4 linked regions of the Macaca fascicularis genome follow. The protein of the gene in region 1 interacts with the protein of each later gene in a pairwise test. Links are inferred from orthologs where the notes say so. Each region holds a gene or a part of one and is shown in the gene's direction. Other genes may lie near its edges.

Region 1 (7,338 bases):
TTCATTCCTTCCTTCCGAGATGACACTTTCCTCAAGATTCCAGTCTGGCTGCAGGAGAGGAGGGTAGGGTCTTAGGACGACAGAACTGCCCTGGTGTCAATTCCATAGCATGTTAATCTTTACCGTTTTGGCATCAGTTCACACTTTGACCCTGCTGTACATTTGTTCTTGTTTATTCCGTGATTTAATAAGGTTAGTTTCCCGTGGCCACCACCGTCCTGTGACAGCTTCTGAGGAGGTGCCTGGGAAGGGACGTAGCTGTCATGAAAGGGGGCAGTGCGGCCTCTGCAGGCACACGCTGTTCCAGGGTATGCTGAGTTCTTCCCGCTCCACCTGGAACCACTGTGTTCACACAGTGAGGGAAGCGACTTTTCCCTTTCCGGGGGACGGTGCTGCTATGGAAGATGCTGTGAAGGAGGCGTGTGCGTATGTGCATGCGTGCGTGTGTACGTGTCCGCAGCGGGTGCTGGAGGATGGAGTGTGTTTTTTTCCCTGCCTTTACATGTAATTCAGTTGACAAGAACTATTCCATGATGTGGTGCGTGCAGGCTTCAGTGTGAAAGGTGAGTATGTACGTACCGTCTCGCTGTGCATCACGGCCCCTCCCACAGTACACAGCACCATCGTTTCTGGCAACCAAGTTTGATGTCATTAGAAAGCTTGCATCTCGGCCGGGCACGGTGGCTCATGCCTGTAATCCCAGCACTTTGGGAGGCCAAGGCGGGCAGATCACGAGGTCAGGAGATTGAGACTGTCGTGGCTAGCATGGTGAAACCCCGTCTCTACTGAAAATACAGAAAAATTGGCCAGGCGTGGTGGCAGGCGCCTGTAGTCCCAACTACTCAGGAGGCTGAGGCAGGAGAATGGCGTGAACCCGGGAGGCAGAGCTCGCAGTGAGCTGAGATTGCGCCACTGCGCTCCAGCCTGGGCGACAGAGCGAGACTCTGTCTCAAAAAAAAAAAAAAAAAAGCTTCCATCTCTGGGCCCTCTTTGGTCATCCTCCCCTTTCAAGTTCTTTCTCCTTTGTTTCTTGTTGTAGTCTTTTATTTACAAGAATTGAAATTTATTAATTTAAGGGCAAAATCATTTGCTGAGAGTATTATGGACTCATTCCTTAACATCTGGTTGATGCCAAATTCAAAAGAAGTATATAAAAATAAGTATTGACCTGAATTCCTCATGCTGTGTATCTTAAGACCTCTTATGAATTTGGTAGTACATAAAAGAGAGATTTAAATTTAGTTTCCTTCCTGACCTCGTCTCTATTCATAATGTTTAAAGAATAGAAAGTTGAACAAATCTTGCATTTGGTTGTAAAGCTACCATGAATTTCCCACCTGTTGCATCTCACATGTGATACTTTGCCCCTGCAGAGAGGTGCTTGGAAGACCACGAGCTGGTGGTCCAAGTGGAGAGTACCATGGCCGGTGAGAGTAAATTTCTATTCCGGAAGAATTATGCAAAATACGAGTTCTTTAAAAATCCCATGGTGAGTCTTACGTCTTCAGGTTTGGGGTTTGGGACTCTTGACATCTGGAAGTTTATACTTGGGTTTCATAGTATCAGATTAGAAAGTGACTGAGAGGCACGACGTAGCATATCGGTTTGAGAGTCAGAGTTGCAGTTTAATGAAGCAATCCTTGCTTGAAACCCAGTCTCGTGCTTCACTAAATGTGCCTGGGACTGGCTGAAGATAGAGGTCTCCTTCTTCAAATAGACACAGTGTAAAGGGGGTTAGTCTCTAAGACAGGAGCTGGGGGAGACTGGGCGTTTTCTGTTATTTTGAAAGTTCTCAGTTAAACTGATCAAACACTTAGCAGAAGAAAAACTCATTATTCTCTGCACACAGCAAACACATTTTGTGATCATACGTGGAAGAATGACTAGAGAAATCAGTGCGATTGGTGGTGTCTTGAGCTGGTCACCTTGATCTCTCTTCCCCTTTCTTTCTTTGGGAAAGAAGGCACTTGTCCTGTGAGAGGCCGGGATAGGGAGGGCACCTCCTAGCTCCTGGGGTACTTACTGTCGTCCTGAGTCATGGGGCAGAGCTGTGTCAGCTGGGGAGAAGACCCAGGGTCATTTCTGACTCTGATAATTTAGCTGCTTTTTTATTCCAGAGTGAGAAATTTGAAGACTGTTTTTGGGGAATGCAACAGAAAAGGCTTTTCTCGTGACTGGGCTTACCTTTTAGTTTCAGGAATTCTTTATCTCACTCTTTGCCATGGAGTATGCTGTGAGACATGCATCCCTTAGTAAACATAGGTGGTATTCCATACTCGTACCCAACATTTCAGGAAATGAAATACAACCTTTTGAAGGAGCTATTTCTTCTGTGTGATAGGAGAATAAAAAGGACTGCCATTTTAAATACAGGTGTACATAATTATATTGGTAGGAATAGTTTTAAAATTTACTTATCTATATGACATACCTTCCCTCACTTTGAAACTAACCTTTCACGTATTTGTTTTTTCCCATTTTCTTAGAATTTCTTCCCAGAACAGATGGTTACTTGGTGCCAGCAGTCAAATGGCAGTCAAAGCCAGCTTTTGCAGGTACTGGGCCAAAATAGACCTCTGCTGAAATAGACTTTCTGAATAGAAATCCTCTTGGAACTGAATGGCAACATTGTAAAAAACCTGAAGAGATTGCATCTTTCATCATTTATAACTTTGGCCCTTAAGGGGGTTTAGAGTAACCAGAAATTAAAAAGTTTACTTGGAAAATCTGTGTGTAGCTGGATTCCTGCTGAGCCAAACAGGCACTTACACACAGAATGCCCTTGCTCTGACTTAGAAGAGTCCAGTGATGCCACTGCTGAGTGTGGCCCGGGGGGTGCATGGAGAAACCCCAGTTTCAGGGCTCCCCAGCTCCTTTCTGAGCAGGGGTCCCAGGTCAGGCCACCGCCCAGCTGCTTGGAAATCTCTGCAGAAGCGCTGAGTCTATAGTAAAAGATGATTGGGTTACCACGACAGACTTTTACAAGTAACTTGCCATACATTACAAATAAAGAAACCTGCTTTAATTGTCCTAAAGTCTGTTCTGAGAAAATCTGGTCTCTCCCCACCTCCTCTTCCAGTGGAGGGAGCCACCAGGGCCTCTGTGCTCAGCTGTCACACACGCTCCTCCAGGGAAGCTGGGAGCGGGGAATGGGAATGTTACAGCTACACCCTAAAAATATGCCTGTGTACATGTCAAAAGTGAAAGAATGAATCATTTCCTAAGGCCACCAACAATATCCAAGTGACATATTACATGTAACAGAAACTACTAAAATATAGTTCCTACAGAATTCTGCTCATAAGCCCTTCTTTTGCTATGTTGTTATCACCAAATTTGTTTCAGCATCTAAAAGATAAGAGCTTCAGAGCTCTGTTCCGGTGGTGTCTTCAGAAGCCCTTCTGACCATAGCATGTGTCTGTTCTGGTGAGAGGTGTCAGTGCTAAGGTACCACCTGTACACCGTGAACAGTGAAATGGCACATTCTGTTTTAACTTGCCTTGACTTTGGGAGGACTCATGTGCTTTGTGAAGATATGCTGTGGTCTCTTGAGACTCAGGAAGGACTGACCCAGGTGCACTAGGGCTCTGTCCGACGTGCCTTTCCCACCTGGGGGAAAAGAGCTTTGTCCCCTCCCAGTCTAGTAGCAAGACCTGCCAACATCACCTCCCCAACTTTGCTCCGTGACCTGGCCCTCGGCCTGTCTTCCCTTTGATGAAAAGCATAGTTTCTTGTTTTGTTTTGTTTTGTTTTGATAAAGGCTTTATTCTTAAGGCTGCCTGTGGGAAAAGTTAAGTGGAACAGGGGGACATCACCAGGATGTCCTGCACCTGGGTTCATCACTTGCAGACAAATGACACCTTTTATGTGACCCTTGACTGGAGGGGTGCCTGGGTAAAAGTGGCCACTACATGCTCACTCTCAGTCCCCAGAGCCCCACTCACTCAGTCATGGCACTTGCTCTTGCCCTCAGTCTGATATCAGACTGGATCCTTCAGTGCACTCTCTTACAGGGAAATTCGTGACTTGTGTTATCACCAGTGTTAGAAAGGTCCATTTGCTTGCATGTGTTTAAATACGAATTATGTTCTATGCAGCACCAATTGAGATGGGATTTTAAGACTTTGGAAAGGAGAACACGCTCAGTTTGATCAAAAAAAGGAGTCTTTTAATAATTCAGAAAATGTCAGTTATGCTAATAACATGTCTGCTTTAATTATTTTAGATTAGCATTATGTAATTTTTAAAATTTGTTCTTCAACAGAATTTTCTGAACTCCAGTAGCTGTCCTGAAATTCAAGGGTTTTTGCATGTGAAAGAGCTGGGAAAGAAATCATGGAAAAAGCTGTATGTGTGTTTGCGGAGATCTGGCCTTTATTGCTCCACCAAGGGAACTTCAAAGGTGAGCTTTAAAACCTGCCACCACCAGCCCTGATTCTGCCCCCGTCACTGCCCCCGGGAGTCCTCAGAGTAAACCTAGGCTTCATTTTTAAATGCACCTTAGACTCCTCCAGGCTCAGGACAACTTCTTAATAAGCTAATTGTGCAACAGCTAAACTTGGAGTCACAGGTTTCCTGGTCTCCCTCAGAAACTAGGTAATAAATAATACATACCTAAGAACCCCACCTGCCCAGCCCCACCCCCACTGTGGGTTGGTAGCAGACCTCCCTGGCTGCCCTATCACTTCAGAGACTGGCCTAGTTCCCATAAGTTGGGATTTAAGCTAGCTGTAAAGATGTTTGATAGATGATTGCCACCCTAATGCCAGTGTAACTTTATGTATCAGATATTTTATGAAATAAATTTCAGGTTTGCATGTATCCGTAGTGAGAAGAAGGTGGGAGATGGAAAACAGCTGCAGGCCCTCAAAAGACAGCTGGTAGCACTGAGGGCTTAGGCTGGAGGCTCCTTCGCTCCCATGTACACTCTTGCCTGCTCTCTTCTCGTGCTGTCCACATACACCCTGTGGCAGGAGCCATGTCCATTCAACGTGGCTGAGCACTTACCATCTGAGGGCTACGGTCTCTTTTACTCTGGCCAGCAAAGGGGAAAGGGAGCTGGCGGGACCCTGGCACAGGTGTTGAGCATCAGGCCAACTCTGGGAAGTCAGCGGCTGCTGACGCATGGGCCAGAGAGAAGGGGGGTCATCTGCAGAGAGGGGCTTTGGTCTGACACAGGGCATGGTAGCGTCCTGACCTCTCAGCTGTGCTGTGTGGCCTGCTCAGAGTCCTCGTGTGTGCTGAAGTCGGGAGATTATTTCCTAGAGCAGGAAACAGAGCTAGGCTGGAGAGTTGAGGAGGAGAAGGGTGGGACAAGCTACCAGTGGGAAAACCCAGGGTACGATTGGACTCTGGATGCACAGCAAACCAAAGGCAGATAGGCCCTGTGCTCTTAACTCTGACCTTTGGGTTATAGATTTTCTTCTGCTTTTTATCTTGAATATCTGGTCATGGGGCTTTGATTTGGCAGAAGTATCAAATACGTTCCAACAGTCTTGTGTGTCTGAGAATTGGGGAAGTGGGTGTTTTGGGTGAGACTGGGTGAATTTGGTTTTAGTTTAGCACTTATCACACCTCATGTAATAATCATATGTAACATGTAAAGTGTCATTGGGGAAAGTGCTTATAAGTGTGCAGAGACTGCCCTCTGTCTACCAGAGGTGAACACATTTGCCCTTTGCTGGGCTTGAGACTTTAACCTGGCCGTTGTTGTCACAGGAACCCAGACACCTGCAGCTGCTGGCCGACCTGGAGGACAGCAACATCTTCTCCCTGATCGCCGGCAGGAAGCAGTACAGCGCCCCTACAGACCACGGGCTCTGCATAAAGGTACACCCGAACTGTCCACAGACGGCGCGCATGCTCAGCAGCCCACTGGAAACTGACTTCTTCTCTTGCCCAGCACTTGATTGTTGCTTCTGTTGTCTTCAACAGAAACATAGTTTCACACTGGATTCCTCCATTCCTGTAAAAACATCTATTGTACACTTGCTGCTGTCAGCCCTTGAGTAGCTCAGAAGCTCAAGGACAAGCAAACAGGGATAGACAGTGTGGCCAGTGGGCTCAGTGTTTTAGGGAGGGTGGCTTTTGGCTTCAAAGGGTGGGCTGTGGCTGTAGCCCAGTACTAGTAGCTGGAAGGGGAGGCAGGGCAAGGGAGAGGACCTCCAGCCTGTCACCTGGGTTGCCTGCATGGTTCTGAGTGAGCTGATGGCTTCTGTGTGGGCCTCTGGCCGTGGGGACAGTCAGATAGGAATGGACACAATGCGGCCCACCCTCTGCATGCACACACACGCGTGCACACACATCTGTGTGCACATACCACATGTGTATACATACATGTATACATATATACCTGTGTGCATACACATACATTATCCACACATGTACGTAGACACACATACACATGTGCACACACCTGTGGGCAGAGCCCACTCCTCTTCCCCTGATGAGGTTGTGATGGTATTAATAATCATAATGGTAGATGATATTTACTGAATGCTTACTGTGCATGAGATGTTCCACTAACAGTTTTACATCCATTATCTTATTTAATCTTCATAGCCCCTTGTGGGATAGGAAGTTGGCCACATTGCCCACATCCAGTAGCCAGTGAATAGTTGTGCTTGGAGTTTGCGCCGTAGGCTGACTTACCAGCCATAGCCCAAGCCGCATCCCGAGAACACAGAACACCGGGAGCCCCTCCTTAGGAGAAAATTTCTTTCCAAAATATCACTTCATACCTTGCTCAGGGAATACTCTTGCCGTTGTAAGTAATAGGCGTCTAATTCACACCAGCTAGAGGCCCAAGGCAGCCTCAGGCGGGGCTGGAGGTATGAGCAGCAGCGGGCACGCTCCCTTCCCACCAGCCCACACCAGCCATGCTTGCATGTCTGCAAACGCAGTCTCTGCTTGCTTCTCTCATAGCATCAGCCGAGCACAGGGTAGTCACACCTGTCCCTCAACCCCTCCAGATTCTGGAGAGGGAGAGCTGGGGCCGTGTCCAGCATTGTTTCTTGAGTCTGAGGTCAGGGGGTTCCTGTGGAGATGCAGGTCAGTTTATCCCTGCAACAATTCTCCTCCCTCACCAAAGGGCCCTGCCTGTGGAGGGGCACCTGTCTTCTCCCCATGGTGCCTGCACCTGCCTCGGGGTGCCTTCTTCCCCTTCTGTCTCCTTCTCCAGAGCCAACATCAGTCTCCCTCTCTGGACCTTCTACTTGGGGTCTGATCTTTGGGCTGCTCAGACGTCAGAATCCCTGAGCTCCTCAGGGGTTTCCCCTCTTGGCTACGCTCTGCAGCCGCCCCTCCTCTCAGTGGCCTGGGGGCAACTTTAAGATCCCT
Region 2 (7,338 bases), on another chromosome or scaffold:
TAGTATAGATTAATTAAAAGGATTGAGTTTGTCATTACGAGAACATGAACTTTTATTGTCATAAACTGAGGACATCAATGTATGTTATTCTGGATTTCCAACTATTTTGATGTGAGATTTTATGAATGTTATGAGTTATATATGTTAGCACATGTGGAATGGTGACTGAATAATTTGTTTGCACAATTTAGGATGATCTTGTCCTTTTAAAATAGCAGTTTAGTTTACTTGTTGTACCAGGCTCTCTTGACATTAATGTAACTTTTTAGATATTAAGTTAGATATACCTTAACTTTGAATTTTGTTCAAAAGCAATTTATGGTATGCCTGTATTGTATTAGGTGCTAGAGTAAATGAGGTTATACTACTTTTCAATTTTTATTTTTATTTTTGGGGGGCAGTGGGGGATGGAGTCTCGCTCTATCGCCCAGGCTGGAGTATAGCGGTACGATCTCTGCTTACTGCAACCTCCGCCTCCTGGGTTCAAGTGATTCTCCTGCCTCAGCCTCCTGAGTAGCTGGAATTACAGGCACTTGCCACCACACCCAGCTAATTTTTGTGTTTTGAGTAGACACGAGGTTGCACTGTATTGGCCACGCTGGTCTCCAACTCCTGACCTGTGATCTGCCCTCCTCGGCCTCCCAAAGTGCTGGGATTATAGGTGTGAGCCACCATGCGGCCTACTTTTCAGTTTATAATCTGTTTTGGAATAAAAGAGGGCCTGACATGTACAGATACCATGTTTAGGCAGAATCACCAGTAGGTGTTGGTTATATAAAGTATGTTGTATAATGAAAAATATCGTATAATTTTAAAAAGTATGTGCTGGTAAGGAGGGATTGGCAAGATACAGTGTTAGTGAAAACAGCAAACAAAACAACATTTATAACATCCAGAGGGTGGCGTTTGTGCGTGTGGATGAGGGAGCTATGTATACATGTGTAAGTGTACCCACAGACAGTGTTTGGAAGACTTTATAAGAAACTTGATGATGGTTACTTCTGGGGAATATGACTGTGAGGGTCTTGTGTAGGAAGATGGACTTTCCATTGCATGGCTTTTTAAAAAAAAAAAAAAAACTGTACATAATATTTTTGTTAAAAAATAATTGCACAGTCTGTGAACATTCAGCCTTAAGAAATGTGTCTAATAATATATGCAAATACCCACAGTTATTTTAGTGATTTTTTCCTGAATATTGAAATGGACACATTTGCAGGAAAGCTTGATTTGAACTGTGAAGTTTGTTTTCAAAATCTTTACTGGCAGAGGCTCATGGTTACTTACCATATTATTTTCTTTATAGGGAGACCAAATTTTGAGGAAGGTGGACCAGCATCAGTAGGGAGAAAGCATGAATTTATACGCTCAGAAAGTGAAAATTGGCGCATCTTTAGAGAGGAACAAAATGGAGAAGATGAAGATGGAGGTTGGCGACTAGCTGGATCAAGGAGGGATGGAGAGAGGTGGCGACCTCACAGTCCTGGTAAGAATTCTGAGTAAAGGTCCATAGGGACTGAAATAAGGGGAAATTTGATGGAAATAGGGATTAAATGGAAAAGATAAACTGGCTTAAAAAAGGTGGGGGAGGATTCATATTATTTATGCTGTCACAGTTTTATTACTAGAAAAAATTGCAACATAAAAATTTCCTGCTACATCTGTTCAGTTTATTGAAATCACTTTTCTATTTTTCTGGGGCAAATAGTGTAGTTTAATGGGAAGCACATGCTCTCAACTGCAAAAATGAGGGTTTCATTCAGTTTTGTCTACCTCTAAATCTTTGAATCTTTTTTCAGCATTCTTTAAGATTTATAAATGTATAAAAATTATACACTTGAAATATGTGCTTCCCTCCCCAACAGTGGGTGTTTTTCCTAACAAGAAAGGGTTTATTCTTTCATTTTTTCCCCTTGAAAATGTGATTTAACCTTATTTGAAGAATAAGCTTTAAAGCTAGGTCAGAAACATAATCACAAGTTCATTCTTATGTCCTTCTAACTTTAGAAGAAGGAGAGAGAATAATACTGATTAGTGGTTTTTAAAGTTCTTCTGTTTGTCTCTTAAGAATGCTTCAAACTGTTCTTCTTGGACATTAGATATGCTGGTAATTGAAGACACTAGTGCTTTGTGTTAAAGTTCATATCCTACCACAGTGCTGATTCCATGCCTCATGATAATCAGATGCAACTGTAGTTCCAATCGTGGGGTCATGCAAAACTGAAGCACACAAAGTATGTGCATGCCCTATGAATTTCATGTGTATGACAGTATTTTATCAACCATGTGCCAGAGAGGCTTACCTTTAATACAGGAAATCATGATAATGTAAACTGTTTTCACTTTTAAAAATCAAGTTATTAGCAAAACCACTAGCTTAGATCTGGGTAGACATTATAACAGGCATTCAGAGTATTTTAAGGAAGTGGTAGGTAGATAGAAACATACTGAAGTTAATGTTTGGGTAGGGTTAGGATGCTTTTATACCAACTCTTCATGGCTGCCTCTTGGGTGGGTTTTCTGTCATTAGTGGGCATTGTTTACATCACAAGATCTAGACAATTTTCATTAGTCTGTGTCCTGAGCCAAATGTTATAGTTCTTTAAAAGGCATTTTATGCTGAGCTTGTCCGTAGGCAGAGGGTTTGTAGACTATGTTCCCAACAAGCATTCAGTGAAGAATGGATAGGATCTGGGTTGAGAGAGAAACGAAATTCCAGCTGGTCAAAAACAAACAAGGTGAATGTTTTGGAAGATGAACAATGTTTTTTGAGCCCTAATGTCTGATGTTGATTCTATTAAAGGGAGTTTATCAAAGTACCTCCCACCCAACAACTTAGAATTTGGATATATATTATTTTCTCATCTTTTCTAAATCTTTTTTTCCCCCTAATATTTGACTTTCATGTCATTTTTGTCATCAACTTGTGTATCTTCCAGAACTTTTAATCCATATACATATATGTTTTTTCAGTCACACCTGTGGCTGAAATCCATATATTTTTAAAAGATAGTTTGGGGGGTACAAAGATATATGGGTCTGAAAAAACAGTGTAAATGCATTTTAAATAAAGAATACTATTCACTTTTTAAACCCAGTATATTCAAAGTATAGCCTGATTATAGCAGTTTTCATATGTTAACTCTTAACATTTGTTAGTTTATGGTTAATCTTTTATTAAGATTTGAGTAAAACTTTAAAGTATTTTAACTGCTTTTATCTTTATGAAAACAGGATCCAACTTTAGTTTAGATGCAGGGTCTGTAAATCAGCAGTCGGCCTTAATAAGTACCTTACATGTCTTACTTGCTGTATTTAGTTTTGTGAGTAAAATTTTATGAACTACTGGTAAGATAACATTATGGGATATAAAATAGGGCTTCCAGCTGGATGCGTATGGAGTTGGGACCATTAAGGACAGGAAGGCATCCAGTCTGGGAGCTGAACCTAAGAAACTCAGTAAGAGGAAGCATGAGCCAGGTACCTAGAAGGATAGATTCCTATCATGATGTACATTTAGACTGTTAGAAATGAAAGCAGTACAGAGGGCTCTGGAATTCATTTGATCATGAAGACTTTTTTCGCATAATGGCTCAAGGTTTCCATGTAAGCAGTCTGGGTATAAAATTCCTTAGTTCTCATAGGAATTAGTAAATAGTGTTTTGTTGTTGTTACATGAAGGGATGGGAGTGTGGGAATAAGATATTTTTTTTGTGAGTGGCTTATCAGATGCTACCTGTATTTGGCTTTTTAACATTTTGCCCTTTGTTTTCCAATTTGATTTTTAGATTGCTGGTTTTTGCAAATTTTGTCTCAATAGTGAGAACATTTAGCTCTGGCCACATTTCTTTTTCTTATCCCCCACAGAGAATGCAGTCAAGGATGGAAAATTCTAATAGGTTAAAGCCTGCTTTTTTTTTTAAGACTCTTTAAGACTCTGTCAGAGTCTAGGTCTGTCAGATTTTAACAAGAGTTTCCGTTTCTTTTTTTTTTTTTAGAAAAATACCTTAAGTAGGATCTTTTATTATTAGGCAGTCTTTTTTTCTGTTGGGAAATGTAGATTTAGGAATGTCCCTGGGAGTGTTATATGGATAGGGAGAATTAAGAGATGAGAAAGAAGGGAAAGGAGAGTAAACATGTTATTGTGGAACAAGCAGCAGAGGGTACAGAATTGGATTTTAGTTCTACTTTGCCATATGCGAGTTACTTCTGCTGGCAAAGTTTTAGTTTCTCCTTAAACTATAAAATTAGGATAGTGGACTTTATAAAATCTCTGTGACAACTTTCAGCGCTGTAAATTTCATGAATTTTGGGGGGAGAATCAGAATTACAAGTGGGAACCTGGCATTAATAAATAGGCATGATGAGTTTGATATTATAAATCGACACAGGGAGCTGATTTTATCCATAAACGATATTTTCATGGGAAGAAAGAAAATGCTTTAAGATTGGGCAAAGGGAAGGTATAATCTTCAGTATGGAAGGATGTCTAGTGCATTAAGTCTGGATGAGGATTTGGCGGCTAATTGGTATTTTAATCAAGTACCTAGGACTTATTAAAAGTGCTTACTTGGAATACAGTGTCCTTTAAATGTGCTTCATTTTAGATTTATCTTTTAAAGCTTTAGAGTATGTTGCATGGCTCAGTACTTAAGTACTGTTGTCGTCTCATAATGGTATATATACTCTGAACTCTGAACTTACATTTAGTTGCCTAATGTTCTCTTTACTAGGTCAGTCCATTTGAGTTTGCAGTCACTTGTAGTTTTCTCCTTTATTTTCTATTCCTGATTTTCTTTTTCAAATACTGTCATAAAACTTTTCTAAGGTTTGTGTCCTCCTTCTCATCTCAGATGGCCCTCGTTCTGCAGGCTGGCGGGAACACATGGAACGACGTCGAAGGTTCGAGTTTGATTTTCGAGATAGAGATGATGAAAGGGGTTACCGAAGGGTTCGCTCTGGCAGTGGGAGCATAGATGATGACAGGGATAGCTTGCCCGAATGGTGCTTAGAGGATGCTGAAGAAGAAATGGGCACATTTGACTCATCTGGAGCATTCCTCTCTCTAAAAGTAAGAAATGTGTTTTAAATGTCATGACCAACATTAACCTTATACCAAAGCCAAATCTGCTGTTGATCTTTGATTTTATTCTCTTGCTACAGAAAGTGCAGAAAGAGCCTATTCCAGAAGAGCAGGAGATGGACTTCCGGCCTGTGGACGAAGGGGAGGAGTGCTCTGACTCTGAGGGTAGCCATAATGAAGAGGCCAAAGAACCTGAGAAGACAAATAAGAAAGAAGGAGAGAAAACAGATAGAATAGGAGTTGGTAAGGCCTCTTCTTGCCCTTTACCTTTTTTTTCCTCCATCAAACCAAAACTTTCCTAAGTTCAACTAAGATTACTTCGTGTTCCAGAAGCTAGTGAGGAAACTCCCCAGACCTCATTATCATCTGCTAGACCAGGCACTCCTTCAGACCATCAGTCTCAGGAAGCATCACAGTTTGAGAGGAAAGATGAACCAAAAACCGAGCAAACGGAAAAAGCTGAAGAGGAGACTCGGATGGAAAATAGTCTACCAGCCAAAGTGCCCAGCAGAGCGGATGGTATGTATTTGTGGGAATAGACAAGCTAAAATAGGATTCTGCTGAGGCCAGTGATCATTGATAAGATAGGCTTCTACTTATGCCTCCTAGAACTGCTTTTAGTGGGTGAATTATCAGAATAGATTATTTTACCAGTAAACCCAGTCAAGGAGGGCTTCTCACTTATGTGTCCGTCTCAGAATTTACCAAAACAGAGAATCTGCAAGGGTGGAGCTCTGGAATCTCCTGTCCTAAGGTGTTATGACATAGCCACTGTGTCATTACTAGTGAATTGGGTGTCAGATCCTTTGCATTAGTTTGATTCCCATATCAGACAGTTACCTTCCTTTCATGTGTTGACTGATTATGTGCCCAGCTTAAATTACCAGATGACACACCAAAGTGCCATTGTTCTAAAAGAGGCCAAGAAGAGAACATATATGAATCTGTGGCACAATAAGCTTAAAATATATCTCTTTTTCAGTGTTAATGTATTGGTTTAAGTTGCTCATACACTTTATTAGGCAATATTAATGCTCATTTCCATGTTTCTTCTTGTACATATTAGAAAATGTCATTGTAATGCCTGACGTTGAAGGGTTGCTTGATTCATTTACCGTAAAAATTCATACCTTTTAACATGACATATGAGACACTGCACAATCTGGCATCTGCTTCCCTTTGTGCAGTTTCATTGCCAGCCTCTTTACCTCCCTCACATTCTACTCACCAGCCTCAAAGCCTTCTAGGTCCTGAAATATCTCCTGTTTTCTAGGGTTCATACCTTAGCGCGTCGTTTTCTCTGTTCTTGAAACTCTCTTCCATCCAAAGCCCCCAGACTAGGGTAGGTGTCTTCTTCCTTTGTTTTCTTAAATAATCAGCCTTATTTCTAACATAGCATTATAGTATCATAAAGATGTTTATTACCTTTTTTCCCAGTAGACTGATACTTTGAGAACTCAAACCAAGAATTTTTCAATTTTTTAAATGTCTAGAACAAAGCTGATTTTTTTTTTTTTTAAAGAGATGAGATTCACTGGGTGTGATGGCATGTGCTTGTAATCCCAGCTACTCGGAAAGCTGAAATGGGGGAGATCACTTGAGCCCAGGAGTTTGAGAACAGCGTGGACAACATAGCAAGACCCCTGTCTCTAAAAACAAAACGAACAACAACAAAAATGAGACAAGGCCTCGCTATGTTGCTCAGGCTGGATCCGAACTCCTGGGCTCAAGTGATCCTCCTGCCCTTAGCTTCTTGAGTAGCTCAGCAAGTACTTGAATCTGTACTCTACATAGCAGGCACTGTGAGACTGGTATATCTTTGAGACAGTTTGATTTGTAGTAGGATATGCCCCAGAACTACTTGTGGTACATTCTTTTGAATAAACATGCTTGAAGCCTTATTCAGGAGATTCTTGGATCAAGTCTAGATATGCATATTCTGAGACGGCTTCAGAGATGTACATTAAAGGTCAAAACTCCAGATTTATAGTGTGTAGGGGAGATAAAGCGTGCGTGTATCACTATTCCAGAGCACAAAGTAAGATAAGGGTTCACTGCTGGCAGACTCTTGGGATACTTCAGGAAGTAGGTGGTCTCTGAACACGTCTTGGAATAGTAAGTAGAATTTGGAGGTAAGTATAGCTAGATGAATTGGGAGAAGGCATTCCAGTACTAGGGAGCAGTGAAAGCTGAAGTGAAGAAGTGGGACTGATCCAGGCTTGGGCAGGAAATCAGCTCTTGTTTTTATTTGATGA
Region 3 (7,867 bases), on another chromosome or scaffold:
GATTACAGGTGTGAGCCACTGCGCCTGGCCTATTATTCCCATTAAAAAAAATCCCCCTCATGGTATCCACATTCCACACCTTCTAGTCTTTCTTTCTTTCTTTTTTTTTTTTGAGACGGTGTCTCGCTCTGTTGCCCAAGCTGGAGTGCAGTGGTGTGATCTTGGCTCACTGCAAGCTCTGCCTCCCGGGTTCACGTCATTCTCCTGCCTCAGCCTCCTGAGTAGCTGGGACTACAGGCACCCGCCACCACGCCCAGTTAATTTTTTTTTTTTTTTGTATTTTTAGTAGAGACTGGGTTTCGCCATGATAGCCAGGAGGGTCTCGATTTCCTGACCTCGTGATCCACCTGCCTCGGCCTCCCAAAGTGCTGGGATTACTGGCATGAGCCACTGCGCCTGGCCAGTCTTTCTCCCACATTTATTTTTATGTTGGTCCACATACTCCTGTCATTCTCACTTTGTTTCATTTTTCTTTTCTTCTTCTTTTTTAAGAGACAGGGTCTTGCTATGTTGTCCAGGCTGGAGTGCAGTGAGGCAATCATAGCTCAAGCTATCCCCAACTCCAAGTGATCCTCCCACCTCAGCCTCCTCCCTAGCTGGATTACAGGGGCATGTCACCATGCATACTAATTTTCTTTTCTTTCTTTTTTTTTTTTTTTTGGTAGAGATGGGGTCTCATGTTGCTCAGGCTGGTCTTCAACTCCTGGGCTCAAGTGAACCTCCTTCCTTGGCCTCTCAAAGTGCTGGGATTAGAGGCTTTGGCCACCACATCCAGCCTGAATCTTATTATTTATATTTTCTTTTAGTCTCCCATTACTAGAAGGCAGGGATTTTGATTGCTGTTAATTTTCCAATATCCAAAATAATGTGTGGTACCTAATAGGCTCTCAATATCGAAAAGGAATAGTGCACATGGCATTCTGTAGTATTAGGTTGGTATCTTGTGTTCCTGTGTTTGCATAAATAAGATCATACATAATGTTCTGGTTTTTTAACTTAATGACTTTTTTTTTTTTGAGATGGTGTCTCACTCTGTCGCCCAGGCTGGAGTGCAGTGGCTCCATCTCCCCTCACTGCAAGCTCCGCCTCCTGGGTTCGCACCACTCTCCTGCTTTAGCCTCCCGAGTAGCTGGGACTACAGGCGCCCACCACCACGCCTGGTTAATTTTTTTGTATTTTTAGTAGAGACGGGGTTTTACTGTGTTAGCCAGGATGGTCTCCATCTTCTGACCTCGTGATCTGCCCACCTCAGCCTCCCAAAGTGCTGGGATTACAGGAGTCAACGCGCCCGGCTCAGCTTAATGGCTTTTTTTTTTTTCTTTTTTGAGACAAGAGTCTGGCTCTGTCACCCAGGCTGGAGTGCAGTAGCGCTCCATTGACCACACCTGCCCAATTTTTTTGTTTGTTTGTTTTATTTTTTAGTAGAAACATGTTTCACCATGTTGGCCAGGCTGGTCTCAAACTCATGACCTCACGTGATCTGCCCGCCTCCGCCTCCCAAAGTGTTGGGATTACAGGCGTGAGCCACCACGCCCGGCCATGTCTTTTTTTTTTTTTTTTGGAGACAGTTTTGCTCTTGTTGCCCAGGCTGGAGTGCAATGCCACGATTTCGGCTCACCGCAACCTCCGCCTCCCGGGTACAAGCAATTCTCCTGCCTCTGCCTCCCCAGTAGATGGGATTTCAGGCATGCACCACCACGCCCTGCTACTTTTGAATTTTTATTTTTTAATATTTATTTATTTTTTCGAGATGGAGTCTTGCTTTGGCTGGAGTGTAATGGTGTAATCTCGGCTCACTGCAACCTCTGCCTCCCGGGTTCAAGCGATTCTCCTGACTCAGCCTTCTGAGTAGCTGGGATTACAGGCACACGCCACCACGCCCGGCTAATTTTTGTGTTTTTAGTAGAGACGGGGTTTCTCCATGTTGGTCAGGCTGGTCTCGAACTCCCGAACTCAGGCTGCCCACCTCAGCCTCCCAAAGTGCTGGGATTACAGCAGTGAGCCCCCGTGCCCGGCCCTTTTTGTTGTTGTTTTAAATTCAGTAATTGGCCGGGCGCGGTGGCTCAAGCCTGTAATCCCAGCACTTTGGGAGGCCGAGATGGGCGGATCACGAGGTCAGGAGATAGAGACCATGCTGGCTAACACGGTGAAACCCCATCTCTACTAAAAAATACAAAAAATTAGCCGGGCGAGGTGGCGGGCGCCTGTAGTCCCAGCTACTCGGGAGGCTGAGGCAGGAGAATGGCGTGAACCCGGGAGGCGGAGCTTGCAGTGAGCTGAGATCCGGCCACTGCACTCCAGCCTGGGCGACAGAGCGAAACTCCGTCTTAAAAAAAAATAAAAATAAAAAAATAAAAAAATAAATAAATAAATTCAGTAATTATATCTAGTTCATTCTTGGATGGATGACAACCCAGATTGGATGTAGCAGCGTTCTCTTAACCAGTTTCCTGTTTTTTTTTTTGAGACGGAGTCTCGCTCTGTCGCCCAGGCTGGAGTGTAGTGGCCGGATCTCAGCTCACTGCAAGCTCCGCCTCCCGGGTTCGGGCCATTCTCCTGTCTCAGCCTCCTGAGTAGCTGGGACTACAGGCGCCCGCCACCTCGCCCGGCTAGTTTTTTGTATTTTTTAGTAGAGACGGGGTTTCACCGTGTTAGCCAGGATGGTCTCGATCTCCTGACCTAGTGATCCACCCGTCTCGGCCTCCCAAAGTGCTGGGATTACAGGCTTGAGCCACCGCGCCCGGCCCAGTTTCCTGTTAATCTACATTTCACCCCCAGTATTTCTCGAGAATGCAAATATGGCATTAAACATCTCCACACATAACTTTTTGTGTATATGTTTACTTATTTCTCTAGAATTCATGTCTAGAAGTGAAACTGCCGGGAGGAAGGATACATACTTTAAAAATGTCCAAGTTCCACTCTGATAGCGCTGAGAGGGCACACAACAGGTTTCAATGTACCTTGGATCAATATTATTAGTTTTTCTAACTCTTTGCTAATGTGATGGGGGAAAAAAAATGAATCCCCAATTTACACACGAGGAAAAGACCGCTTAAGGTTCAGGGACTGTCCACATAGCTGTCAAGTGCCAGAGCCGTAATTTGGCATTAAAGTGTCCGACTCCGGAGAGTCAAAGTTGGACACTGTGCTCTGTGTCCTGGGGCACGTCTGATGATCGCTGGGCCTTGCAATGCTGGCAGGCAGGCCTTCCTCTCCCCTTCTAGGCCTCTGGCCACTCCTGGCTGGCCGCAAGCCGGCTCTTCTCGATTACCGAGTGCCCCTCCTGAGAATAAGCCAGCATCGCCTAACCTCTTCAGCTCCGAAATGGCGGCCACCAGATCGCGAGCCCACGCCCCGGGGGCGGGGCCTGTGTTCAGGCCAGAGCGATGGATGCCCGAGCCAAGTTAGAAGTCGACTGCCAGGAGGGCTAGCGCAGAAGCGGAGAGCCGGTGGCGTCGCAGGTCGGGAGGACGAGCACCGAGTCGAGGGCTCGCTTGCCGTGGCCGCCCGAGAGTCTTAATCGCGGGCGCTTGGGCCGCCATCTTAGATGGCGGGAGTAAGAGGAGAACGATTGTGAGGTGGAAAGGGTTTTCTGCTGCATTCCTTGGGCCCCGAAAAGGGTCAGCTGGCCGGGCTTTGGGGCGCGTGCCCTGAGGCGCGGAGCGCGTGTGCTACGATGCGGGGGCTACTCGGGGCTCCGTCCCCTGGGCTGGGGACGCGCCGAATGTGACCGCCTCCCGCTCCCTCACCCGCCGCGGGGAGGAGGAGCGGACGAGAAGCTGCCACCGGACGACAGGACGTTGGGGCGGCCTGGCTCCCTCAGGTAGGTGGCAGGGGCCGGGTCGTGGATGCCGGGGGAGCCGGGCGGCGGGACTGAGGGACCGGCTTCCAGGGCGAGCGGGCCTGGGTGGCGCTGATGGAGCGGCCCCGCGGCTGCCGGGCGGAGGGCTTGGGCCAGGCCGCTGTCACCCCGGTTAGCGTTGGGCGGGGGCCCCGGAGTCCGGTGTCATGGCCGGCGAGCCTAGTTCCCACATCCCACTCAAATTTCCTTGTGTTTTGCGGAAACGTGCCAACGCCACCCCTGTGCCAGTGCGCATTCCTCATTATTTGGCAGTGGGAAAATCCGCCCAGAGTTGCCCCATGTCTGTTGTCACTTGGATGGGCCAATTCCTTTTCTCTTGGGCCGTCGATTGTGGGACCCGGGCTTGCACGCAACCTTTCTCTGGATACTTCAGTCAGGTGACACCCTTTTAGGGAGGACGTGAGGAATCGGGTAAGAGAGGAGGAAACTGGCCAGTGCCCTACCACAAAGTCACAGGGTTCTCTTCTTGGATATCAGGACTAGCCTTGGGTATCAGGACTCTGTGGGTTATTAATGAAAGTCTTGAGATGCTTATAGAGGATTGGCCTCAGGACGCTTTGGAACGAAGAGCCAGGGCTGCCTTTTGTGTGAAGCGAGAGCCGCCGGGACGCTTCAGCTCTGCAGCTGCTGAGGCTCTGCGAGCGAGTCGATACCCAAGAGAGAGGAGTTTGGACGTCGTGAGAGGCGAGGCGGCCGTGTTCATTCATTGTTCTCTTTCTAGGGCTCTGGGTGTGCCCCTGGTATTCATTCTGTGGTGGGAAGAAGGATAGGAACTTCTGTGTCTCCTTGAGGTGTGAACGGGTTCTAGGGGGTCACTTAATCTAAGTAGGAAATGATTCAAGGCACGTTCATTGAACGTTTCTGCTTGCCTGGTCCTCTGTGGGCTGAGTGGAGAGATTCTGCCCTCCCTGCGCTCCTAAGGCGTGAAAACAATGCAGTGTGATAAGAATTGGCTTACCAAGTGTTGTGAGGATTTAGAACAGTTAGTTTTCCTTGGGGAGGAGTTGAGGAAGCTTCTATACTCGAGGAGACTTAAGCGTCGAGTTTTGAAAGACCGGTGAGTAAGTGCTCACCAGGTGAGGAGGAACTCAGGAAACAGCTGGTACAAAGGCTTAGAGACATGTGGGAGTTGGGATGAGTTTGGGGAGCAGCAAATTGCCTGGGGTGCAGGAAGGAAATGGTGAGAGATGAGAGAAAAATAAAAGTTGCTAGAATTGTGAGGGGATTTTGTTGTAGATGGTGAACTAATTGAATTTGGATTATTGTATATGATTTGCTGAATCTTTATTCTTGCTGATAGTTTTCTCCCTTTGTCGATGTTGAAGCTGATAGTGATTGAAAAGATTTAGTTTGTTAAACTTAATGACTTTTTAGTTTTTTTTATTTTTTCAGAACAATTCAAACTTTTTCTTTTCTTTTTTTTTTTTCTTTTTTTTTTAAAGGAACAGGATCTCACTCTGTCACCCAGGCTAGAGTGCAGTGACATGATCGTAGCTCAGTTGCAGCCTCTAATTCCTGGGCTTAAGCAGTTCTCCTGCCTTTGCCTCCTGAGTAGCTGGGACTACAGACAGGTGCTACCACACATGGCTAATTAAAAAAAAAAAATGAGTAGAGATGGAGTCTGACGGTGTTGCCTAGGCTGGTCTCAAACTCCTGGGCTCAGGTGATGTTCCTGCCTCCACCTCTCCCTCCCAACGTGCTTGCTGGAATTACAGGGGTGAGCCACTGGCCAGGCAGAACTTTTTTTTTTTTTTTAATAATAGAGAGAGGGTTGCACTGTGTTGGCCAGACTGGTCTAAAAAGTATGCCTTCAATAGAACTCTTGGGCTCAAGTGATCCTTCAGCTTCAGCCTCTCAAAGTGCTGAAATTACAGGTGTGATCCACTGCGCCTGGCCAGCAGAACATTTAATGTTTTGCACTTACACAGTGGTGAATGAATTGAACTCATATATTCCTGGGGATTCTTGCAAAAAATTCTCCTAAAGTTATACTTGCTCACAAAAATGTTAACTTTATAAATGTAAAACACTCTCCTAATATTTGTTTTATTATCCTATTATTTTTTATTTTTTTGAGACAGAGTCTCACTCTTTTGCCCAGGCTAGAGTGCAGTGGTGCGATCTCGGCTCACTGCAACCTCCGCCTCCTTGGTTCAAGCAGTTATCCTGCCTCACCGTCCCGAGTAGCTGGGATTACAGGCACACATCATCACGTCCGGCTGATTTTTGTATTTTTAGTAGAGATGGGGTTTCGCTGTGTTGGCCAGGCTGGTCTCGAACTCCTGACCTCAAGTGATCTGCCCACCTCGGCCTCCCATGGCCTCGCTGGAATTACAGGTGTGAGCCACTGTGCCTGGCCTAAATTTTAAATATAAATAATGTACTCCCCAGTCTTACAGAAATTGGACGACTCTAGAAAACAAACATCCAAAAAATGTGTAGGATGTATTTTTAGTTTAATAAGTGTATTTTTTAAACTATTTCTTGGTATTGACTTCTTGGATAACAACCTGTTATAAAATCTTTATCCCCATAAACATAATTTTCCTAAAATAGGTATAATACTGTGATTAATGTTTATGCTAAAGTGACTATTACGGAATTAACAGACTTCAGTTGCAGTTCCTAAACCTTACTTTCGTTGTGATGATTATATACCACTGAAGAACATTCAGGATTATTTTGACTTGTTTTTACCCTTATCACTAAAGGGCTAAGCTGTTTAAAATGCAGCATAAACATTTGACCCAGTTGAATGCTGGGATACTTGGAAAAATAAACCTGTTACTGTTTCTGTACTAAAGGCTTATCTTTTAAAGATATGTGGTTTTTTTTTTAGTGCAGTGGCATGATCTTGGCTCACTGTAACCTCTGCCTCCTCCCGGGTTTAAGCATTCTCCTCCCTCAGCCTCCCAAGCAGCTGGGACTACAGGCACCTGCCACCACGCCTAGCCAATTTTTATATTTTTAGCAGAGACGGGGTTTCGCCATATTGGCCAGGCTGGTCTTGAACTCCTGATCCACCTGCCTTGGACTCGCAAAGTGCTGGGATTACAGGCGTGAGCCATCGTGCCTGACTGGTATGTGGTGTTTCGTGGTTATAAATTATAGTGGAATTCCTTTGTTAAAGTCTTGTCAGTAGTTGTAAAAACATCAGCCAGTTGTGGGGGCTCATGCCTGTAAGCCCAGCACTTTGGGAGGCCGAGGCTGGTGAATTGCTAGAGCTCAGGAGTTTGAGACCACCCTGGGCAACATGGTGAAAACCTGTCCCTACAAAAAATACATACACAAAAAAAGAAAAAATTAGCAGGGTATGGTGTAGTATGCCTGTAGTCCCAGCAACTTGGGAGGCTGAGGTGAAAGGATCACCTGAGCCCAGGGAGGTTGAGGTTCAGTGAGCCATGTTCATGTCACTGTACTTCAGTGTTGGCGACAGAGACCCTGTCTCAAAAAAAAAAAAAAAAGTGTGCCTTCAATAGAAGGCTTGAGCATATTTTATGGGATTTGGTTTAGCTGAAAAAAACAGTGAGAAGCAAATTAAGCTGGTAATTTCTGATGAAAAGTATCTAAAAGATGAAGAACGTTAAGCATCAAGTATTATATAACAGTTGCTCTGAGACTAGTTGCTTTTAGTTTATTCCATTTGTTTGCTCTGAAGATTAAACAACTTCTTGTGAGTTAAATTTGACTTTTCCAGAAGCACTGGAATATTTAGGAAATGAAAAATACAATTGATAACTTTAAACTACTATTTCAGGTAGTCTATTAGTAATAAATGTATGATTCTACATTTAAATTTCAGGTAAATCTTTGTTAGTAACCTACTGCCTAAAAAAATGTTACATGAGGGAGTACTTTTGTTTGCATGTTAGGAACATAATAGGCCATACATAATAATCTTTTTTTTTTTTTTTTTTTTTTTTTTTTTTTTTGAGACTGAGTCTGGCTCTGTCGCCCAGGCTGGAGTGCAGTGGCCGGATCTCAGCTCACTGCAAGCTCCGC
Region 4 (7,338 bases), about 31 Mb from region 1:
TCCCTGTCCCCTCAGCCCCTGGTGACTGCCCTTCTACCTTCCTCCCTCAGTGAGTGCCTCCTCTAGAGACCTCATGAAAGAGAAGTAAGGTCTAACTCTCCTTTTTTGGCTGGTCTGTTTCACTTAGCATCATGTCCTCAAGTCTCATCCAGTCCCCAGATTGCTCTAGGAGGCCACCTGCAGTCAGCGACAGGCTGGTGGCTTTGCGTGGCGTGGAGCACACCACCACCGGAGCATCCACCCGAGGCTGAGGAGGGAGAGGCCCCAGGGGAGGCCACCCTGGCCCTGGGTTGCCTCTGAGCCCTGTGGTTCCCCCTGGGGTGCTGGGACTCTGAGCAGGCCTCGGCATGTCATGGGCTGCTGGCTCAGCTGGGGCTGATGGCCTTTCCCCCTTAGCATCCTGGTGGAACCCCCTTCCTCTTCTTTCCCAGACTGTGGCGTCCTGGAGTTGATGGGAGCTGCAGCACCAAGCCGGGCCAGCCTCCCTCCCAGCCAGTGACAACAGCTCTGCAGCGCCTGGACCCCGCCCACCCGCCTGAGTCCTCTGCCGGGGTCCCCAGGGATGCGCCTCCTCCTGAGAGTCCCCTCCATCGTCCCTTAGAGGAACAGGCTGCCGCTGCACCCCCACCAGCCTCCATTGCCCTGACCTTATTTCCACCTGATGGTGCCAGAGGCTGCTTCCCAGCCGGTATCCTGAGATCCTCGTTCCCTTGGTGGCTTGGTTGTTTCAGCCTCCGTTCTTGATTGGGGGGCGGTGGTCTGGGTGTGATTCCTGTGGGGGAAACCAGCCCGAGGTGCCTTGGCTCAGGCTTGCCTGGAGCCTCGTCATGTACCAGTCTGTGGCCCTAGAATCACCTCCTGCTCCTTTTCACTGGGTTTCTCCCCAGACCAAGCCCCTGGATTTGAGCTTCTGAGCAGCCAACTGTGATTTTTTTCATAAAGGAAAGAATTTTGCTCCTAGATTTATTTCTAATCCTTCTCTCCGTAACTGACCTTTTCTCTGTAAGCTATTTGTGGCTCTAGTGAGTTTTTGCTTGCTTGCTTGTTTTTGTTTTATCTTTGCCCTGAACATCCATCCTGGCCTCGGCTGCCTCCCTCCCTGAGTTCTGCGCTGCACCTCCTGTCTCAGCCTCCCAGAGAGGGTGGTGAGGGTGCTGATGCCCAGAGATACCACCCAGCGAATGGACCTCTCCCGTCATGCAGGGCAGGGCAGGGCTGCCAGCAGAGCCTTGTCCTGAACCCTATCTCCTCCCCCCTGCTCTCCTTAAGGGTCTTTCCCAGATGTAAAGGTCGCTCCCAGGCTCTACGGAGGCCAGACCAATTCCCAGTGGCTTGGGGACCCTCGTTCACTCCAGCACCAGCCCCTGCCCTCCTGCTTCCTGGGCCAGGCTGCCAGGTGAGCCCTGGGCCGAGGGAGGTTGCCCCACGGAGGCCGGAAGGACTCGAGCTTCCCATCTCCTCGCCTCCCCCAGGTCTTTCACCGTCTGGACTCATCTCTGGGTAACTCATGGTGTGAGTGGCCACGTGGCTGGCTCAGGTGAGTCCTTTTAGACCCCAGGTGACCCACCAGCTAGTCCGGGGCGCATTGCCATGCCTACCAGGATGTACCCCGGGGTGTCCTCCCTGCACTTGAAAGGTCTCCTTCGTGTGCTGTTCTCCATGGCTCCGTTCCCCCACAGGTGTTTGGAGAGCGAACGCCAGGTCCCCTCCTCCCCACCCCCGGCCTCTCAGAAAACACGCCCAGCCCCACGATGGCAGCAGAGACACTCAACTTTGGGCCTGAGTGGTGAGTCACATGTGCCTCGGCTGCCGTGGAGATTCGGGAAAGCACAGTCAGGCTGCCCTGACCTGTCTTCTTCTCTCTGTGTCGTGTCCAGGCTCAGGGCCCTGTCTGGGGGCGGCAGCGTGGCCTCCCCACCTCCATCCCCTGCCATGCCCAAATACAAGCTGGCTGATTACCGCTATGGGCGAGAGGAGATGCTGGCCCTCTACGTCAAGGAGAACAAGGTGGGTGCGTGGACGAGGGTTGTTGGCGGCGGTGGTCTCTGCCCATGGAGGGGATCTGGCAGCATGTGGTGTCTTGGCTGTCCCACCCCACCGCCAGGTCCCAGAAGAGCTGCAGGACAAGGAGTTTGCCGCGGTGCTGCAGGACGAGCCACTGCAGCCCCTGGCCCTGGAGCCGCTGACTGAGGAGGAACAGGTGGGGCCAGGCCAGGAGCTGAGGCTGCGGGGGCCGGGGAGGGGTGGCCGTGAGTCGGGCTAGGAGGAGAGGGGCCAGTGCTGGGGAGACAGGCCGGGAGGGTGCTGTGGGGTGGGAGTGGGGGTGGTCAGGTACCTGGGTCCTCACTCCCGCCCCTGGCTCCCTCCTCAGAGAAACTTCTCCCTGTCAGTGAACAGCGTGGCTGTGCTGAGGCTGATGGGGAAAGGGGCTGGCCCCCCCCTGACTGGCACCTCCCGAGGCAGGGGCAGCACGCGGAGCCGAGGTAGAGGGGTGATGGCGTGTCCCGGGGGCAGGCAGATCAGGGCCCCTGACTTTGAGGACGTGCAGCAGGTTTCAGTGTGCATCTGGCCTCTTATCTAGGCCGTGGCCGCGGTGACAGCTGCTTTTACCAAAGAAGCATTGAAGAAGGTGATGGGGCCTTTGGACGAAGCCCCCGGGAGATCCAGCGCAGCCAGAGCTGGGATGACAGGTGGGGCCAGGAGGGGGTGTGGCATAGAGCAGGGCAGGCCAGGGAGGGAGGCCTGGTTCCTGTTGCTAGAGGGTAACAGAGGCCTACCAGATAAGCCCTGTCAGAGATCCCTGTTCTCCTGACCCCTGGTTTCCTCTGTTCCCTCCCTCCCTCCACTGCCTCAGGGCACAGTGGACAAGGCATGGGGCGGTCGCAAAGGGTGGGTGGGGAGGCTGTACTGTTTTTGACCCACACGTTTCCCCTCCTGCAGAGGCGACAGGCGGTTTGAGAAGTCAGCAAGGCGGGATGGAGGTACGAGGTTGCTGAGGGCGGCGGCCGGGGCAGCGGGGAGGATCAAGATGGGTGGCCCAGTCTGAGGGTGTTTATTTCAGAGGTGCTGGGGGCAGGAGGGCCTGGAGCTGGCTCCCCACGTTTCCTGAGGGTCCAGGTACCACGCTGCCTTTCTGATAACTGCCCCTCTCTTCCATCTCCCAGCACGATGTGGGTTTGAGGAGGGAGGGGCTGGCCCAAGGAAGGAGCATGCCCGCTCAGACAGCGAGAACTGGCGCTCCTTACGGGAGGAGCAGGAGGAGGAGGAGGAGGGCAGCTGGAGGCTTGGGGCAGGGCCCCGGCGAGATGGCGACCGCTGGCGCTCCGCCAGCCCTGGTGAGATTGGGGCCCAGTAGCATTGGTGAGGGCAGTGGGGAGCAGGAACTGTCATGAGAGGGTGGGCTCCTGTAGCCCCTGGGAGGTAGCAGAGGCTGGCTGGTGTGGGAGTGGCTGGGACAGCAGCCCTGGAGGTGCTCCATGAGCTGCAGCAGAGAGGGCCGCCAGCTTTGCTTGGGTACCCACTCTTCTTCTCCCTGACTTTTCCTGCGCAGATGGCGGTCCCCGCTCTGCTGGCTGGCGGGAACATGGGGAACGGAGGCGCAAGTTTGAATTTGATTTGCGAGGGGATCGAGGCGGGTGTGGTGAAGAGGAGGGGCGGGGAGGGGGAGGCAGCTCTCACCTGCGGCGGTGCCGAGTGCCTGACGGCTTTGAGGAGGACAAGGATGGGCTCCCAGAGTGGTGCCTGGACGATGAGGATGAAGAAATGGGCACCTTTGATGCCTCTGGGGCCTTCTTGCCTCTCAAGGTATCTGCAAGGAGGTGAGGGTGGGAACCTGCCCTGCTGGGGTCCTCTTCCTCCTCACCCACCCAGCTGTTCTCTGCCCCCCACCCCTGCCCCATGCAGAAGGGCCCCAAGGAGCCCATTCCTGAGGAGCAGGAGCTGGACTTCCAAGGGCTGGAGGAGGAGGAGGAGCCTTCCGAAGGGCTAGAGGAGGAAGGGCCTGAGGCGGGTGAGCCTGTGAGGTGCCCAGCGGGCCTGGGGCCGGGCCAGACTGGCATGGGGGTTCTTTGCCAGGCTGGGCACTTGCTGCCCACCTACCTGTAGGATCAGGCTACTTAGAAGTGGAAGAAGAGTGTTGAGAGGTGGGGAGGAACCAGGGGTTAGCAGAGCCATGTCTTCAAGGCAGTGTACCAGATAGAAATCAGGCATAATCAGAATGACCTTTGAAAGTCCATTGAAGAAACTGCAGAACCTGGGGTGAAGTCTGCGGGGTTGTATGGTGTTGTGCAGTGTTGATACGTTCCTGCTGCGTCTGGCACATGGAGGCAAGGGTCAGGGCACCGCATTCCCGCTCCACCATTAGTTGAGTTGACCCAAGTGAAGTGGTGGACTTGGCCCGGGGGAGGGTGACCCGTGGGTCCAGCCACACACTCAAGGGCTTGTACTCACTCGCGTGGCAGGCCCAGCCCTTGGTTCTGAATTCTGGCCATCTTCCTCTTCTAGGTGGGAAGGAGCTGACCCCACTGCCTCCTCAGGAGGAGAAGTCCAGCTCCCCGTCCCCACTACCCACCCTGGGCCCACTCTGGGGGACAAACGGGGATGGGGACGAAGCTGCGGAGAAAGAGCCCCCAGTGGCCGAAGGTAGGAAGGGAGGATGACCTACCTCCCGGGTGCCCTGGGGCTGTGAGAGAAAGTGGTCCCCTTTTGTGGGGGTGGGCACACAGGGCATTCACATTGAGGAGCCATGGCAAGAGCTCAGTGTTCTGGAGTGAGGGTGGGCGGAGGCTATCTTGTCTCCTTGCCGCCCTCCCTTCCACCTCCTGTCCTCATGCCTTCCAGATGATATTCGGGGGATCCAGCTGAGTCCTGGGGTGGGCTCCCCTGCTGGCCCACCTGGAGATCTGGAGGATGATGAAGGCTTAAAGCACCTGCAGCAGGTGTGGGGGCCTGAGAAAGTGGGAGGGACCCTTCACACTTCTCCTGACCACCTGACCTGCTTGGCCCCGGCCCCGGCCCCAGCTCAAGCTCCATCCCCATCCCAAGCTCCATCCCCATCCCAAGCTCCATCCCCATCCTGATGGTGCTGAGATTGGCAGCTGAGACTTTCTTCTCTTCCTGGGCTTCCAGGAGGCGGAGAAGCTGGTGGCTTCCCTGCAGGACAGCTCCTTGGAGGAGGAGCAGTTCACAGCTGCCATGCAGACCCAGGGCCTACGCCATTCTGCAGCCGCCACTGCCCTCCCGCTCAGCCATGGAGCTGCCCGGAAGTGGTTCTACAAGGATCCGCAGGGCGAGATCCAAGGTACTTGTGTGGGATGGGAGGGCTGCTCAGGGCCATTCTGGTTCAGGGTGTCTCTGGCCTACCCTGTGACCACAGTGGTTCTCCTGCTCCCTTGCTCCCTGTCCAGGCCCCTTCACGACACAGGAGATGGCAGAGTGGTTCCAGGCTGGCTACTTCTCCATGTCACTGCTGGTGAAGCGGGGCTGTGATGAGGGCTTCCAGCCTCTAGGCGAGGTGATCAAGATGTGGGGCCGTGTGCCCTTCGCCCCAGGGCCCTCACCACCCCCACTGCTGGTGAGCCGCCTCTCCCCTGCATGGAGGGACAGGGTGTAAGGGGTGTGGGCAGGAGTCCAGCAGAGTCCCCTCTTCGCTGCTGCGGGCACTGGCCGAACTCTCACCCGAGCAGGGAAACATGGACCAGGAGCGGCTGAAGAAGCAGCAGGAGCTGGCCGCGGCTGCCTTGTACCAGCAGCTGCAGCACCAGCAGTTTCTTCAGCTGGTCAGCAGGTATGGGGGGCCTGGGGTGGGTTGGGAGAAGGCCCGGAGCTGGCTCTGTGGCCCACCACCTCCACTGTCCCATTTGCAGCCGCCAGCTCCCACAATGCGCGCTTCGAGAAAAGGCAGCTCTAGGGGACCTGACGCCGCCGCCGCAGCAGCAGCAGCAGCAGCTCACGGCATTCCTGCAGCAGCTCCAGGCGCTCAAACCCCCCAGGTGCGTGGCGCATGCTAGCCCTCAGGATACAGGGTAGGGAACGGGGGCAGACCAGAGATGGATTTGGGGTCCTGAGAATCCACGATTTGCTCCTCAGAGGCGGGGACCAGAACCTGCTCCCGACGATGAGCCGGTCCTTGTCGGTGCCGGATTCGGGCCGCCTCTGGGACGTACATACCTCAGCCTCATCACAGTCAGGTGTGTGGCCTGCCTGGCCCCCCACCCCCAAGGCAGTCTCCGGGTGAACTGGGGTCTGGGGTCTGCTCCCCACCCTTGCACCCCTCGTTGCCATTCTGGCTGGGGAGCCCACTGCTGCGGCTGGACTGGATCAGTGGGCCCAAGTGCCCACCTGCAGCTGCCTCTGCCCCCTGCCCCCTGCAGGTGGTGAGGCCAGTCTTTGGGACATACCAATTAACTCTTCGACTCAGGGTCCAATTCTAGAACAACTCCAGCTGCAACATAAAGTGAGTAGGCATCCTGGGGCTGAGGCCCTGGGAATGAAAGGGGGGACCGAGGCAGGCCCCAAGCTGTCCCCTGCAGCTCTCCCCTGATCAGCCACTGGTCTCAGTTCCAGGAGCGCAGAGAAGTGGAGCTCAGGGCGAAGCGGGAGGAAGAGGAACGCAAGCGCCGGGAGGAGAAGCGCCGCCAGCAGCAGCAGGAGGAGCAGAAGCGGCGGCAAGAGGAGGAAGAGCTGTTTCGGCGCAAGCAGGTGGGTGCTCCCGAGCCTCAGCTGGCTGGGGAGAGAGCCCTCGTCAGGTCCCCTCACTGTGTCCCCCTCTTAGGTACGGCAGCAGGAGCTGTTGCTGAAGTTGCTACAGCAGCAGCAGCAGGCAGTCCCCGTGCCCCCCGCGCCCAGCTCCCCGCCCCCACTCTGGGCTGGCCTGGCCAAGCAGGGGCTGTCCATGAAGACACTCCTGGAGTTGCAGCTGGAGGGCGAGCGGCAGCTGCACAAACAGCCCCCACCTCGGGAGCCAGCTCGGGCCCAGGCCCCCAACCACCGAGTGGTGAGCAGGCCAGGAACCTCCCAGGACCCCCCCATGCGGTTTCCAGGGTGGCATAGGGAGGGGGATCACTAAGCCCAGACTTGTGCAGCCCAAACCCCAGCCCCTCCTGTGATGGCAACAGCTCTTGTGGCCCTCGCCTCACTCCTCTCCCTATGCCACCTAAACAAGTCTCCCTGTCTGCTTTTCTGGGGTGCCTTTCTTTGAGCCACTCTGATCTTCTGCCATCTGTAGCAGCTTGGGGGCCTGGGCACTGCCCCCCTGAACCAGTGGGTGTCTGAGGCTGGGCCGCTGTGGGGCGGGCCAGACAAGAGTGGGGGCGGAAGCAGCAGCCTGGGGCTCTGGGA

Evidence for each region.
Region 2: the proteins of GRB10 (region 1) and GIGYF2 interact in a two-hybrid assay, tested with the Homo sapiens proteins (2 studies listed by BioGRID). The link is inferred for Macaca fascicularis from reciprocal best matches to the Homo sapiens genes GRB10 and GIGYF2.
Region 3: the proteins of GRB10 (region 1) and RAF1 interact in a two-hybrid assay, tested with the Homo sapiens proteins (2 studies listed by BioGRID). The link is inferred for Macaca fascicularis from reciprocal best matches to the Homo sapiens genes GRB10 and RAF1.
Region 4: the proteins of GRB10 (region 1) and GIGYF1 interact in a two-hybrid assay, tested with the Homo sapiens proteins (2 studies listed by BioGRID). The link is inferred for Macaca fascicularis from reciprocal best matches to the Homo sapiens genes GRB10 and GIGYF1.

The regions. Positions count from the first base shown.
Region 1 is NC_088377.1:79,812,691-79,820,028, forward strand, and holds part of GRB10 (growth factor receptor-bound protein 10), read left to right. Parts: intron 1-1,373; coding exon 1,374-1,489; intron 1,490-2,486; coding exon 2,487-2,555; intron 2,556-4,264; coding exon 4,265-4,402; intron 4,403-5,718; coding exon 5,719-5,829; intron 5,830-7,338.
Region 2 is NC_088386.1:128,708,373-128,715,710, forward strand, and holds part of GIGYF2 (GRB10-interacting GYF protein 2), read left to right. Parts: intron 1-1,306; coding exon 1,307-1,486; intron 1,487-4,853; coding exon 4,854-5,071; intron 5,072-5,163; coding exon 5,164-5,326; intron 5,327-5,413; coding exon 5,414-5,602; intron 5,603-7,338. UniProt on the Homo sapiens protein: Key component of the 4EHP-GYF2 complex, a multiprotein complex that acts as a repressor of translation initiation. In the 4EHP-GYF2 complex, acts as a factor that bridges EIF4E2 to ZFP36/TTP, linking translation repression with mRNA decay.
Region 3 is NC_088376.1:150,945,335-150,953,201, reverse strand, and holds the start of RAF1 (RAF proto-oncogene serine/threonine-protein kinase), read left to right. Parts: upstream 1-3,521; 5' UTR 3,522-3,826; intron 3,827-7,867. UniProt on the Homo sapiens protein: Serine/threonine-protein kinase that acts as a regulatory link between the membrane-associated Ras GTPases and the MAPK/ERK cascade, and this critical regulatory link functions as a switch determining cell fate decisions including proliferation, differentiation, apoptosis, survival and oncogenic transformation.
Region 4 is NC_088377.1:49,276,207-49,283,544, reverse strand, and holds part of GIGYF1 (GRB10-interacting GYF protein 1), read left to right. Parts: intron 1-431; exon of another isoform or gene 432-1,269; 5' UTR 1,270-1,396; intron 1,397-1,472; 5' UTR 1,473-1,537; intron 1,538-1,679; 5' UTR 1,680-1,751; coding exon 1,752-1,786; intron 1,787-1,877; coding exon 1,878-2,007; intron 2,008-2,104; coding exon 2,105-2,200; intron 2,201-2,371; coding exon 2,372-2,483; intron 2,484-2,581; coding exon 2,582-2,690; intron 2,691-2,940; coding exon 2,941-2,981; intron 2,982-3,164; coding exon 3,165-3,335; intron 3,336-3,550; coding exon 3,551-3,804; intron 3,805-3,903; coding exon 3,904-4,009; intron 4,010-4,142; exon of another isoform or gene 4,143-4,312; intron 4,313-4,503; coding exon 4,504-4,641; intron 4,642-4,663; exon of another isoform or gene 4,664-4,792; intron 4,793-4,839; coding exon 4,840-4,937; intron 4,938-5,127; coding exon 5,128-5,299; intron 5,300-5,405; coding exon 5,406-5,572; intron 5,573-5,684; coding exon 5,685-5,785; intron 5,786-5,864; coding exon 5,865-5,990; and 10 more. UniProt on the Homo sapiens protein: May act cooperatively with GRB10 to regulate tyrosine kinase receptor signaling. May increase IGF1 receptor phosphorylation under IGF1 stimulation as well as phosphorylation of IRS1 and SHC1.